Linked DNA regions of Oryctolagus cuniculus. The protein of the gene in region 3 purifies or fractionates together with the protein of the main gene of each other region. This does not show direct contact. Links are inferred from orthologs where the notes say so. Each region holds a gene or a part of one and is shown on either strand. Other genes may lie near its edges. The genes, in order: BRD8, NR2C2 and JAZF1.

Region 1 (3,641 bases), on a different chromosome or scaffold from region 3:
AGTTCAGTATGAACCAAAATATTCTAACTATGTCCCCAGTGGCTATTCCGAATAAAAGCCACAGCACCTTTCCTTGAGAATTTTCACTTCATTCTTCCCAAAACACAAAGGATTCGTGAAGTACCTGGATCTGTTCCAATACATCTCGCTGCATCTCCACTGCCATGTGATAGACATCGTGGTCTGAGCTATTGTACATCACAGCATTCTGAAACATCAGCATAATGTCACGCTGAAATTCAGCTGTGCTGCGAATCAGTCCATTTTCAATGTTTTTCTTAATAGTTGATAAATCCATAGGCCTAAAAAAATGAAGAGGAGTAAAGAGCAGCAGAAGTGGGAAAAGGACTCACCTGATCTCTGAATAAATGATAAACATGATAATACATGATAAACTTTCTTACATATACCTTATTCCTTCATTATTAGCTGCTAGGACACAAATGCCAAGCCCCCACTCCAAAACATGCACTTAAGACAGAGAGAGAAATCTTGCATCCACTGGTTCACTCCACAATTGCCCACAACAGCTGGGGACAGCCCAGGCCAATGCCAGGAGCCAGGAACTCCACCCAGGTCTCCCACATGGATGGCAAGAGTCCAAGTACGTGGGCCATCATCCACTGCCTCCCAGGTGCATCAGCAGTAAGCTGGATTGGAAGCGGAAGAATGGGACTCAAACCAGCACTGCAATATGCGCGATACGGGTGTCTCAAGCAGCAGTTTAACAGACTATGCCACAACATCTACCTTTGTACTTAGATCTAAAGTAAAAATTCACTAAGACTGGACAATTTATAATTCAGGCAAGTCAGCAGAGCATGGCTTACCTCTGTACAATGCTGTGATAACCAGGTGCTATGTCATCTGTAACAGGCTGTAAGAAGACATTCGCATATCTGTCCGAAAATAATTAACATGCAATTACTAAACAGATGCACATGGGAAGGAACTTAGATCAAGTAGCTAAAGGTAGGTAGAGACACCACCAACAGTCCCACAGAAGCCTACTTAGACTGCTTTCTTTTCATCTACAAAGAGGAGGACCAGGAGGGAATGAACCTACTGATGGGTAAAGCCACTCACCTATGATTAGCTGCCGCTCTCCACACAAGCATGATGGCTTTCTTCCATATTTTCTGTGCCTGAATAGCTTCTTGATCCTCACTACAGACAGAACTGAAATAGACACACAGATCAGTAGGCAAGGTGAAAGAAAAAAAAGCCCTAATTATTTCATGTCAGTTATTTCTTCCAGGCCAAGAATAGGAAGATGAGAAAATAAGATTAAAGAAAAGGGGGCTGGCATGTGGCATAGCAGGTTAAGCTACCACCTGCAACACTGGCAACCATATGGGTGCCAGTTCGAGTCTTGGCTACTCCACTGCTGAGCCTGGTAATGCTCCAGGGAGGGAAAGCAGCAAATGGCCCAAGTACTTGGGCCCCTGCACCCATGTGGGAGACTGGGATGAAGTTACTGGCACCTGGATTCAGCCTGGCTCAGCCCCACCTGTTGCCACATTTGGGAAGTTAACCAGAGGATCAAAGATATCTCTCTCCCTCTATCACTCCGCCTTTCTTTTCTTTTCTTTTCTTTTCTTTTTTTTTTTTGACAGGCAGATTCGACAGTGAGAGAGAGAGAGAGACGGAGAAAAAGGTCTTCCTTTGCCGTTGGTTCACCCTCCAATGGCCGCCGCAGCCGGCGCACCGCACTGATCCAAAGCCAGGAGCCACGTGCTTCTCCTGGTCTCCCATGGGGTGCAGGGCCCAAGCACTTGGGCCATCCTCCACTGCACTCCCGGGCCACAGCAGAGAGCTGGCCTGGAAGAGGGGCAACCGGGACAGAATCCAGCACCCCGACCGGGACTAGAACCTGGTGTGCTGGCGCCGCAAGGCGGAGGATTAGCCTAGTGAGCTGCGGCGCTGGCCAAAAATCTTTTCTTTAGTCTTACTGTTTTTTTATTTTATTTTATTTTATTGATTTGAAAGGCGGAGTGGCCGGCGCTGCGGCTCACTAGGCTAATCCTCCGCCTTGCGGCGCCGGCACACCAGGTTCTAGTCCCAGTCGAGGCGCCGGATTCTGTCCCGGTTGCCCCTCTTCCAGGCCAGCTCTCTGCTGTGGCCAGGGAGTGCAGTGGAGGATGGCCCAAGTGCTTGGGCCCTGCACCCCATGGGAGACCAGGATAGGTACCTGGCTCCTGCCATCGGATCAGTGCAGTGCGCCGGCCACAGCACGCCGGCCGCGGCGGCCATTGGAGGGTGAACCAATGGCAAAAAGAAGACCTTTCTCTCTGTCTCTCTCTCCCACTGTCCACTCTGCCTGTCAAAAAAAAAATTAAAAAATAAAAATTAAAAAAGAAATAAAGGAAAGATTTTCTCCTACTTCTCACCTTGACTGCCTTGGACTCAAACAAAGAAATCTCTAATACTCACAACTGTGAAGAAGCAGGGCTGCTGGGGATGGAGTCGGCCAGTGTATGTGACTGCAGTGTAGCATTGTGTATGCTAAAGCCATCATCACTCTCGCTCACAGGGGGTTCATTATCCATTTCTGACAAATAGCCTTCTCCTTGATCTTCTTCCTTAGGCTCCTCTAGGCTGGCTGCTTCACTGACCCCATCTTCTTCCTCATCCTCACCTGGGGCATCCTTAGACACAGTGTGCTCCGGTCAACAAATGCACGTAAAGCTATCCAGCAAAGCATCATTAAACATGGTCTGTCTTTTGGGTTAGATCAACTCTAGAAATGGCCTCACACTTTGAGCCCTCTATCACTCATACTACCATCTACTTAGCAGACACTGACTAAATAAAGTAATCTAGAACCTGGACAAAGAATAAAATCCAGGATCTTTTTAAAAGGAAGAAAAAAAAAAAGCTACTTACTTAAGACTAAGCTAAGAGGCGTTCCTTCTTTCCCCTTGCTCTTGAGAGGAACTCTGACCCTGGGTACAAAGTTATCAAAAATAGTTTTTACTTCGTGTCTCATTTGATGGAGCAAGCTCACATCGCATTACTTCAAATCTTTTTTATTACTGCTCTAGTAACTCTAAAATAAAAACTTCAGATGATTCTCTTTGAATAGTCTAAAAAAATCTGATTTTCTATAGTTTCTTCCTGGCTCTAGTATTCCTATTGACTCCAAATCACTTGGGGTGCATCAGAGCTTCTTTGTATACTTCATGCCAAGAAAATAACCATGTAATGTTCAGATGGGTAGCACGTGCAGTAATTATATGTACTCCCATATGCCTGACTGTCCACTACAGCTTTTCCCCATGCAACTCCTTACCAGTCTCATCTCAGAGAATAAAGCTGTGAGTTTACTGAAATTCATTAAAAAAGGGAGTGCTATAGGGAAATCTATCACATGGCAAGAGGAATAAAGAAAAATCTGAAATACCTTTATCTGGCTTCCAAAAATAGCCCCTGATTCTTCTTTCAATGAGTCTGCAGAGGAGAGAAAGACTACCTGAAGATTTTTCCACCTTAGCCTTCCCCTACTATGGACCGTAATCCCCTGCAGCTCTCCTTTCCATGCTGACCTATTCTACTTCCTGTACTTGCCCACAACCCACAATCCCTTAGAAGCCAAAGCAAATGATTTCAAGTTAGTCACAGAGTACAGGTTTCCTGGTCTT
Region 2 (4,096 bases), on a different chromosome or scaffold from region 3:
TAAATTACCAACAATTCATCCACTCAACAAATAGTGTCAGGCATTCTACTAAGTGCTGGATACACAAAAGTGAGCAAAAACGATTCCTGCTCTCCTACAACTTACAGTGTGGTGAGGACAAGACAGTCATCAAACACATAACAGAGCAGGTACTTACTAAGTCAGAGAGGGTTATAGAGAAACAAATATAACCTAAAGAAACCTGACGTGGACTGGCAGGGAGAATCAGGGGGCACTTCCCTTAGGGGAAGGGATGCTGACCAGATCTGCAGGCCCAGGTAGGTGGCTGGCGTTTTCAATATTTTAGGGCCAGGGAACCGCAGTGTGAAAGAGCCTGTGGTGGAGAGTAAGCCACACTGACATGGAGGTTAGTTGGGCCAGAGTGTCCAGCGCACAGGGAGCTAGGGATACAGGGCTAGCAAAATAAAGACCAGTGCTGGGAGGGTTTCTGAATATGGAGCAGGAAGAGGGCCTTTACCATCACAGGGGTTGCAGCAAGACTTGAATAACGTAATGCCTTTAAAAAAAAGTTATGAAAAGCACCCTACTCTTGGTTAATGCTCTTCTGTTCCACTGCTTTGTTTTCTAAATAAATTTTTGGTCTGGACGCCAAGTGAATGACTGAAAAGCGTTAAAGGCAGAATCCAATGACATAACCCTGTTTTTGCCCCCATACCACCCTGCCTACAATTTCTTCCATTTAACAAGTTCAAAATCTGCAGCTGACAACTAGTACTTCATAATGACAGTAATTCCAACTACTTACTGAGTATTTACTATGTGCCAGGCACTTATTTACATTAACTTATTTAATCCTCAACTGTAGAAGAAAGGTTTTATTACTGCACAAACAAGGATAACAAGGTTCAAGAAGGTTAGAGAACTTACCCTAAATCACACTGCTAGCAAATGTTGGAGCTGTTAGGTTAATTACACCATTACTGAACTTCCCCTTTAAACATTTTAGGTGTGCATGTATGTGCACAGATCTGTATCAGTACGGAAGGTGGGGGCACGGAAAGGAGCAGAACGCCTAGGTGTGGAGTCACACTGACACAAGTTTGAGGATCAGTGTCTCAGTCACCTTTACATTCCGGGCGCAGCGCATAGTGCCTGGGCTATCAGTGGGGCTCAGAATTGAAGATGGATACAAAGGACTTCCACCTGGAAATAGTGGCTTTCTGACACCAGCCATTCACTTGATGGCTGTATTTTCCTGGAACGTCTTCTTTTTAATGATTAAATCGCAGATCTGGGCTGCATTACCTTTGTCACATTTCACAGACATTAGCCAGGAGGCAGAGTGGGATGACAGCAAGGGCAGCGAACAGTTCCAAACACTCTCCGGCCACAACCCGCATCCACCGCTTGCCCCGGGGTCTCCACTGCTTCCCACACGAGTCCTCCCCTGAGCATCCCAGCCAAGTCGGCCCCCGGGCCTCAGGAGCACATCACCCACTTTCCCTTCATCACGGTTCACGCCCTCAGTCCCCAACACCAGGGGGGCAGGACCGTCGTCCAGCTGCTGTCTGGAGGCATCTCCAGCGCCTAAAACTAGGTGAATGCGTCTGTAATAAACGAACGAGCAGACAATCACCTGGGAACCGCGTTCTCAAGCCCTTACGCTCCGCACCCCTGGCGGCTCCACACCGCATTTTAACAGGAACACCATTTTTACATCACGGTGCGGCTCGAGAAGCGGCCTGGACTCCATTTTCTGAGTCGAGTCCCTTAAACAATACTGCGAAGGGAGGTCCGCCCTGGCAAGAACGCCCACCATCCTCATTTTACAGGCTACGAAACGGAGGGCCTCGGAAAGAGAGATTCGCCCAGGGTCAAGCTGAAAATCCGGGTAAGAGCCTGGGATGGCGTCCGAGTTCCAAAACGCTCTTTGACAAGAGATCGCGCAGTGGATTCCCAAAGCTTCAAAGGCTTAAAAATGATTGTTCGCCGCCATCCATTAGGCGCTAGGTGCAGGCCCAGCGAAACCGCCCCCTCGCCCACGCCGGCGCCCAGCCCCTCACTCAGGCCGCGCCCCCTGCGCCCCGCCCCCGGCCCGGCCCCCGCCGCCCCGGCCTCACGCCGCGCCCCGGCCAGGTCTCCCGCGCCGCCGGGGGGCCGCCCCCTCCCGCCCGAGCCAATCAGCAGCGGCCCGGGGGCGGCGCCACGGGGCTCCCGGCCCTCCTATCTGGGCACCAATTGGCCGGCGCAGACGTCGCTCACGAGGTCGCGCCCTGCACTCGCCTTCCTCCTCTTCCTCCGCCCTCCCCTTCAGAAAACACGGCGGTTGGGCCGGGGCGGCCGCCAACTGCAGGCGGGAAGCGGCGGGGCGAGCGGCCGGGGAACGAGGGAAGGAGGGACTGCAAGGAAGTCGAGGAGGATAAAGAGGAGGAGGAGGGGAGGCCGGCCCAGCCGGAGCTGTCTCTATCGAGAACAAAATGGCGGCGCTGGCGGAGGGCCAACTGTGAGGCGGGGCCGCGGCCATTCCCCCTCCGCCCCCACCCTCGCGCCGGCCGGGCCGGTCAGGGGGAGCCCTCTCGCTTCGCCCGGCCGCGGGCGGGGAGGGGAGGGGAGCGGCCCGGCCCACTATGCAAAGCGCCCGGCGCCGCCGCCGCCGCCCCGTGGCAAAGGTAAAAGGGTCGGGTTCAGCCGCCGCCGCGGCGCCTCCATGTCCGCGCGCCAGGCCCGCCCCCTCCGCCGCCGCCGGCCCGAGCCCGCCCCGACCCCCTTTTCGGTGTTACCTCAGGATTTGGCGCCACAGCGGCCTGGAAGCAGGTCCCGTGTCGGCGGCGGGCGGCCCCCGGCGCGGAGGGCAGGGCGCGGCGAGGCCGGGCTCCCGGAGTCGGCGGATGGCGGGAGCCCCGGGGGCCGCGGGCTCGCGGGGGCCGCGGGCGGGAGGCGACGCCGAGGTGGAGGCGGGGGCGGGCCCGGGGGCGCCGCCGGGGTCGCGGGGAAGGAGGGGTTTGTTATTGTTTTTGTCAGTGAAAGGTCAGAGTTCGTGACCCCGGTGCCGCCGCCGCCGCCGCCCGCGCGCTGGGAGGAGGAGGGCGAATGTTCTTCTTCCTCTTCCCAGCGCCAGCCTCGCCGCGGCGGCGGGGGGCGGGCGAGCACGCGATTGGCTGAGGCGCGCGCGCGCACCGGAACGCCGCGGCCGGCGCTCGGGCCATCCGGCCCGCGGGCTGCGGGCTGCGGGCCGCGCCTCGGCCGCCGGGCCCTGGGTGGCGGCTCCCGGCCCCCGGCCCGCGGAGCCCGCGGACGCCGCGCGCCGCTGCTCGGGGGCAGGCCCGCCCCACGCGGGACCGCGAGCCGCGCGCGGCGGGGCGGGGCCTGCTCGCCCGGGACGGCCTCCGCGGAGCTCGCCGCGCCCCGGTGAGGGAAGGAGCGGGGCCCTCGCCGCAGAGCGCCCGAGGTCGGCGGCGGGTGTGGGCCTCCCTGTTGGGGCTTCGAAGGTGCAAGGGAGCGGTGTCGGGTACGGTGCGGAAAGGCCCGGGCCGAGTCGGAGTTGGAGCTCGGGGGCCGCCTCGGTGTGCGGACAGCAGGTCCGAGCGAGAAGGCTGCCCCCCGGGCCTCCCGGGGCCCGCGGAGCCCCCAGGTTTTCCCCGGTGGCGACTTGCCTGGGAGCTGCAGCACCCTCTGGGCCGGGCTGCGCGCGCCTCGTCGCCCGGCGTTGTAGGCCGCAGATTCTGTGCTAACGGGTTTCTCCCTCTGCGTGTCTCTTACTGGGAAGAAATACTTAGACTGATGGGTTAACTTGTTTTCTTAGCAGTTCCCATATGGCGTTTTTATCAGCATGGTCCGCCCAGCGTTGGGGATTTTGTCCGTAAGCTTATAATGATGGTTGGATAGGAACTGTTCAAAACGCAGCTGTTGGCCTTCTCTCCTTGTTGTCACCTTTCAAAGTGGGCAAAAGAGCTGCGTTTGTGTAGTGTTAGGGGAACCACAGACACTGAGGCCGGAAAGGCTCCTCTCTCTGGAAGATTTTCACCGTTGTGTAGGCCGTGAGCCCGAGGTGACAGTACTCTGAGAAACTTGGAAACGTGCACTTTGAAGAAATGTTTTTAGTGTTAATGCTCCCAGATAGAGTGTTCAGTGTAAG
Region 3 (4,110 bases):
TGCACAGCTGCCAAAATTCTAATTCAAGATCGAGAATTCTAACTCCAGCTCTTCAGACCCTTGTCTGGCCTTGGCCCTCATCTCCTGCCAACTGGGCCTCTGGCTCATTATCAGGCCCACCAAGGCCCCACCCCCAGCCTCACTTGGGCCCAGGAAACCGTTCTTGGCACCAAACCGAAGGCCAATGACACACTTGCCCCAGCCCCATCCGACTCTACTGCTATCGTAGAGCCGGTCTGTCACCTTGTGAGCTGGAAGACACACGTGCTGGGCCACAGGAGGAAATGCCGGGGGTGAAGAAACAGCCCCCGTGGCTGATGGCCATGGTCAGACTGAGAAACTCTGCAGGGACAGCATTACCACCCGTGTCTTCATTCAAACACTCACATGAAAAACCTCAACAACTCCTTTATTAGATATAACACTGGAGATATATACATGGTTCGCGAGGGGGATCCTGTTTCCCTATGCTTCTCACCAGAGGGTAAGTGAAATCCATCCTCAGACAAAGTGCTATATTCAGAATGCATGTATCAAAAAATGCACCTGTTGGATCATCAGCTGCTGCTGTTGTGCCTTGTTTCTTAGGCACCTGGACCAGTGCTACTGGAGAACACACATTTGTCAGGTAAAAAATTCGACTGCACCTGGCAGTGGGGACTAGAAGGTAACAGCTTCTTAGCAAAATGCTGGTGTCGGGGAAGCTATTAAATTCAGCCGAGGGCTTAAGCAGTCAACATCAGGGTTTCAATGTTCACAAGACTGGCGTCTTGATTGGAGGAGTCTCTTCACCTGTAAGTGAGGCGCAAACATGACCCTTGACCCTGCGTGCACTCCGATGGCTCAATCACGGGACTTGGGGCAGGGTGGTGGGCGCAGTGTGGTGCCGGAGTCGGGGATAATGACATTATTTCAGCTCTTGTTTTCATCCAAAGGGGCAGACAGCCTTGGTACATAGGTAAAACCCAGTCAAATACACTTGACAACCAAGCACTCTATTTTGAAATTTAAATAAAGCTAAGATTTTCTTCTGGCCTAGAGGGAAGGTTCATTAAAATCAATTAGTCGGTACAAACCTCCAGAGAATACGGACTTTTTTTTAAAGAAGGTTTAAAGAATAAGGTGCACACAATTACCTTTCTCGGGGTCCCCCCCCGCCGTGACTGTCAGGGTCGCACCTAGACAGGTGGCCCCAAGCCCAGGTCCCTGAGAGCTAGCTCCCAGCTGGGCACGAGGTGTAATTAACAGCTGGGTGTGTGTGCGTGTGTGTGCGTGTGTGTGTGTCTCGGGCGCGCCGCGTCCACGGGCAGCCGGGCTCCCGACAGCCTGCACATATGACAGCCCGAGCCCCGCAGGCCGGCGCGGCACAGTCGGCGGCGGGCGCTGCCAGGTGAGGCCGCGGCCCGGGCGGAGGTCGGGGCCGCACAGCTGTGGCCGCGCGCCCGGCTCCCTCCTCCCAGCGGCCGCGGCCTCTCCCCTCCCCCCGCCGCTCCCGACGCCGCCGCCGCCGCCGCCGCCGCTCCCCTCCGCCTCCCGGTGGCTCGGCGCTCTCCTGCCATCGCTCTCGCCCCCTCTCCCTCCGTCCCGTCCTCTCCGCTCCCCTCTGCCCGCCTCTCTCCCCCTCCCCCAGCCCCTCCTCTCCTCACCCCACCCGGCCTCCTCCCTCCCTCAGCCCGCCCGCCCGGCGCTCGCAGAGCCGACACCAGGGGGGCTCTCGATGTAGCACCATGACAGGCATCGCCGCCGCCTCCTTCTTCTCCAATACCTGCCGCTTCGGGGGCTGCGGACTCCACTTCCCCACCCTGGCCGACCTCATCGAGCACATCGAGGACAACCACATCGGTAAATGGCTCGGGGGTGGGCGGGGGTGCCGGGCGCGCGGAAACTCCTGCCCGGGGCGAGAAGCCCCAGAATGGCCAGGGCTGGCCGGGAGGGGGGAGGCGGCGGCGGTGGCGGTGGCGGTGGTAGCGGCGGCGGCGGCGGGGCGGGGAAGGGGTGTGCGAGTCCTGGGGCGGGGGCGGCGGGATGCGGAGGCGCGGGTGGGGGAGGGGGCGGGCGCCCTGAGGTGCCGCGGGCGGGCCGGAGACCCGGCGGGGCGTGCGCGAGGGCTGCCGCGGGGTGCGCGGCGGCGGGGATGCGGCGGCGGCGGCGGCGGCGGCGGGGCCGGGCGCCGGGGAGGGCGCGCGGGGCGCGGCGGGCGGGCGGGCGGCCGGCGCGGGGCTGGGGCGCCGAGTTAGTTGGCCCGGGGGGCGGGCGCTGCACGCCGCCTGCCGCTTCCGCCCCGGCTCGAGCTGTCAGGGCTCGGCGGCGGCTGCAGCGGCCGGGAGGTGGGAGCGGGGCGGGGGGGGGGGGGCGGGGGTGGCTCCACCGCGGCAGCCATTCCGCTTCCTCCTCCCACCGCCGCCGCCACTGCGTCCTGTCAGCGCCGGTTGCTAGGTGTGGTGTTGCGGGCGGGGGGCGGACCGGGCGCTCGTCCTCGCCTCGGGGCGGCCGCAGAGCTGTGCCGGCCGGGTCCCGAGTCGCGGGGCCGCAGGGCGCCCACCCCTGCCCTGGCCTGGCGCGGACGCCGGGGCGCTGCGGGCTGAGGTTCCGGGTGTGCCCGCGGGCCGCGCCCAGCGCCGCGGGGCCGGGTCGCCGCGGAGGCCCCTGCGGCTGCGTTCGCTGGAGAGCGGCCCCCTCCCCGGGGCCGGCCAACGGGCTTTTCGATGCGCCCCGGCTCTGCGGTTTGCCCTTCCCATGGCGCTAGGCCCGAGGTGCGCCGGCTGCGCCCGGGGATCGGCGGCGGCCTGCGCGGCGCCCCGGACGCGGGGGACGCGTGGTGGGGGCGCCCCGCCGGGCGGCTGCTCGCCCTGCACGCCCGGGACCCCGGGGCCTTCCAACAAGTCCTCGAACACCTTGACACGTTTCTGTCCCGAGCCGCTGCGAAGGGAGATGGGTTGGGTTGGTGTGGCCCTGGCGTTCCTGCCACCTGCGAAGGTGTGGCCAGCGCCTGGGAGTTGTCCTGCGAGGCCCGGAAGGTGAAGGGGCCACAGAGGTGCCTCGTGGGGCTGTCAAATCCCGAGGACCGGTGATGGCCCCCAGACGTCCAAATGAACGCCATAGATTCATGCATGTGGATGCAGCTCACGTTTCTACAAAGTTGAGCGGGTAAATCACGACCACTGTGTATTTATGCACGAATAAAAGGAGGCAGAGTCCCAGGTTCCATAGCTTAGTATAATGCTGTCTGTGCACAGAGTGGGTGCCTAATAAACGTTGAATGCGATTAGGTGGGCCATCAGCAATAGGAAATATGTCTGTAAAGATGGTTCTTCGAGAGAGAATTCTGATGAGTAATTGTCCAGGCGTTGAAACTTTCAAAGTTTAAAGCAGGGCCCTGTAATTGTTCTTCTATCTCTGTAAGGTGTGACGGTGGGGGTAGGCAGGTTCTGGTAGTCTTAGAAGCAGTTTAATGGAGAAACAAATTTGCTGATTCATATCATGATTGAATAGTCATAACTGAAAGGGCTTGTACGGATAAATCGTTTTCACGATGCCTGGTTTAAAATAAAGCCAAAACTCCAGTAAAATGCAGAGTTCCAGTAGAAATTTTATGAGTTCAAGCCTTCCCCTATACCTAGTAATAAAATAATAAGTATAAATAAATATATATTAAATAAATGTACCTGAAAAGTATAAACAAACATCTCCTAGGTTGGAGAAAGCTGTCATAGCATATCCATTCATTCTCACTAACAGTTATTTCAGGATAAACTATAGTTTATGTAAGTTGAGTAATAATTTTACCTCATTGACTGCCTGGTTGGACTAGCTGGTTAAAAGAAAATAGAAATTAGATTTATTAACATATTTCAAAAACAGTTATCCTTCTTAAGGATTTAGTTCATCATCAGTTAGATGATTTAAAACCAAAAAGAGGTTTTTTTTTTAAGTTTGCAGACATTGTCTTTTTATTGTGCAATTTTTAAGAGGGTTAAGGGTTCCGTAAATTTTCTAAAACTCGGCTTTTAAGTACTAGTATCTCACTCCCAAAGGGCTAGTGTTTTTCTTTTAATAGAGAAAACATTGGGAAACTTAAATTTATAATGATAGCTGTGGCTTAGGAGAACT

What was found.
Region 1: the proteins of JAZF1 (region 3) and BRD8 purify together in Homo sapiens (affinity purification with mass spectrometry; 3 studies listed by BioGRID and IntAct, with this or other methods). This does not show direct contact. The link is inferred for Oryctolagus cuniculus from reciprocal best matches to the Homo sapiens genes JAZF1 and BRD8.
Region 2: the proteins of JAZF1 (region 3) and NR2C2 purify together in Homo sapiens (affinity purification with mass spectrometry; 4 studies listed by BioGRID and IntAct, with this or other methods). This does not show direct contact. The link is inferred for Oryctolagus cuniculus from reciprocal best matches to the Homo sapiens genes JAZF1 and NR2C2.

Annotation. Positions count from the first base shown.
Region 1 is NC_091437.1:25,975,934-25,979,574, forward strand, and holds part of BRD8 (bromodomain-containing protein 8), read right to left. Parts: intron 3,451-3,641; coding exon 3,404-3,450; intron 2,649-3,403; coding exon 2,434-2,648; intron 1,180-2,433; coding exon 1,087-1,179; intron 900-1,086; coding exon 831-899; intron 303-830; coding exon 125-302; intron 1-124. UniProt on the Homo sapiens protein: May act as a coactivator during transcriptional activation by hormone-activated nuclear receptors (NR). Isoform 2 stimulates transcriptional activation by AR/DHTR, ESR1/NR3A1, RXRA/NR2B1 and THRB/ERBA2.
Region 2 is NC_091441.1:113,808,885-113,812,980, reverse strand, and holds the start of NR2C2 (nuclear receptor subfamily 2 group C member 2), read right to left. Parts: upstream 2,881-4,096; 5' UTR 2,742-2,880; intron 1-2,741. UniProt on the Homo sapiens protein: Orphan nuclear receptor that can act as a repressor or activator of transcription.
Region 3 is NC_091447.1:19,742,553-19,746,662, reverse strand, and holds the start of JAZF1 (juxtaposed with another zinc finger protein 1), read left to right. Parts: upstream 1-1,299; 5' UTR 1,300-1,727; coding exon 1,728-1,842; intron 1,843-4,110. UniProt on the Homo sapiens protein: Acts as a transcriptional corepressor of orphan nuclear receptor NR2C2. Inhibits expression of the gluconeogenesis enzyme PCK2 through inhibition of NR2C2 activity.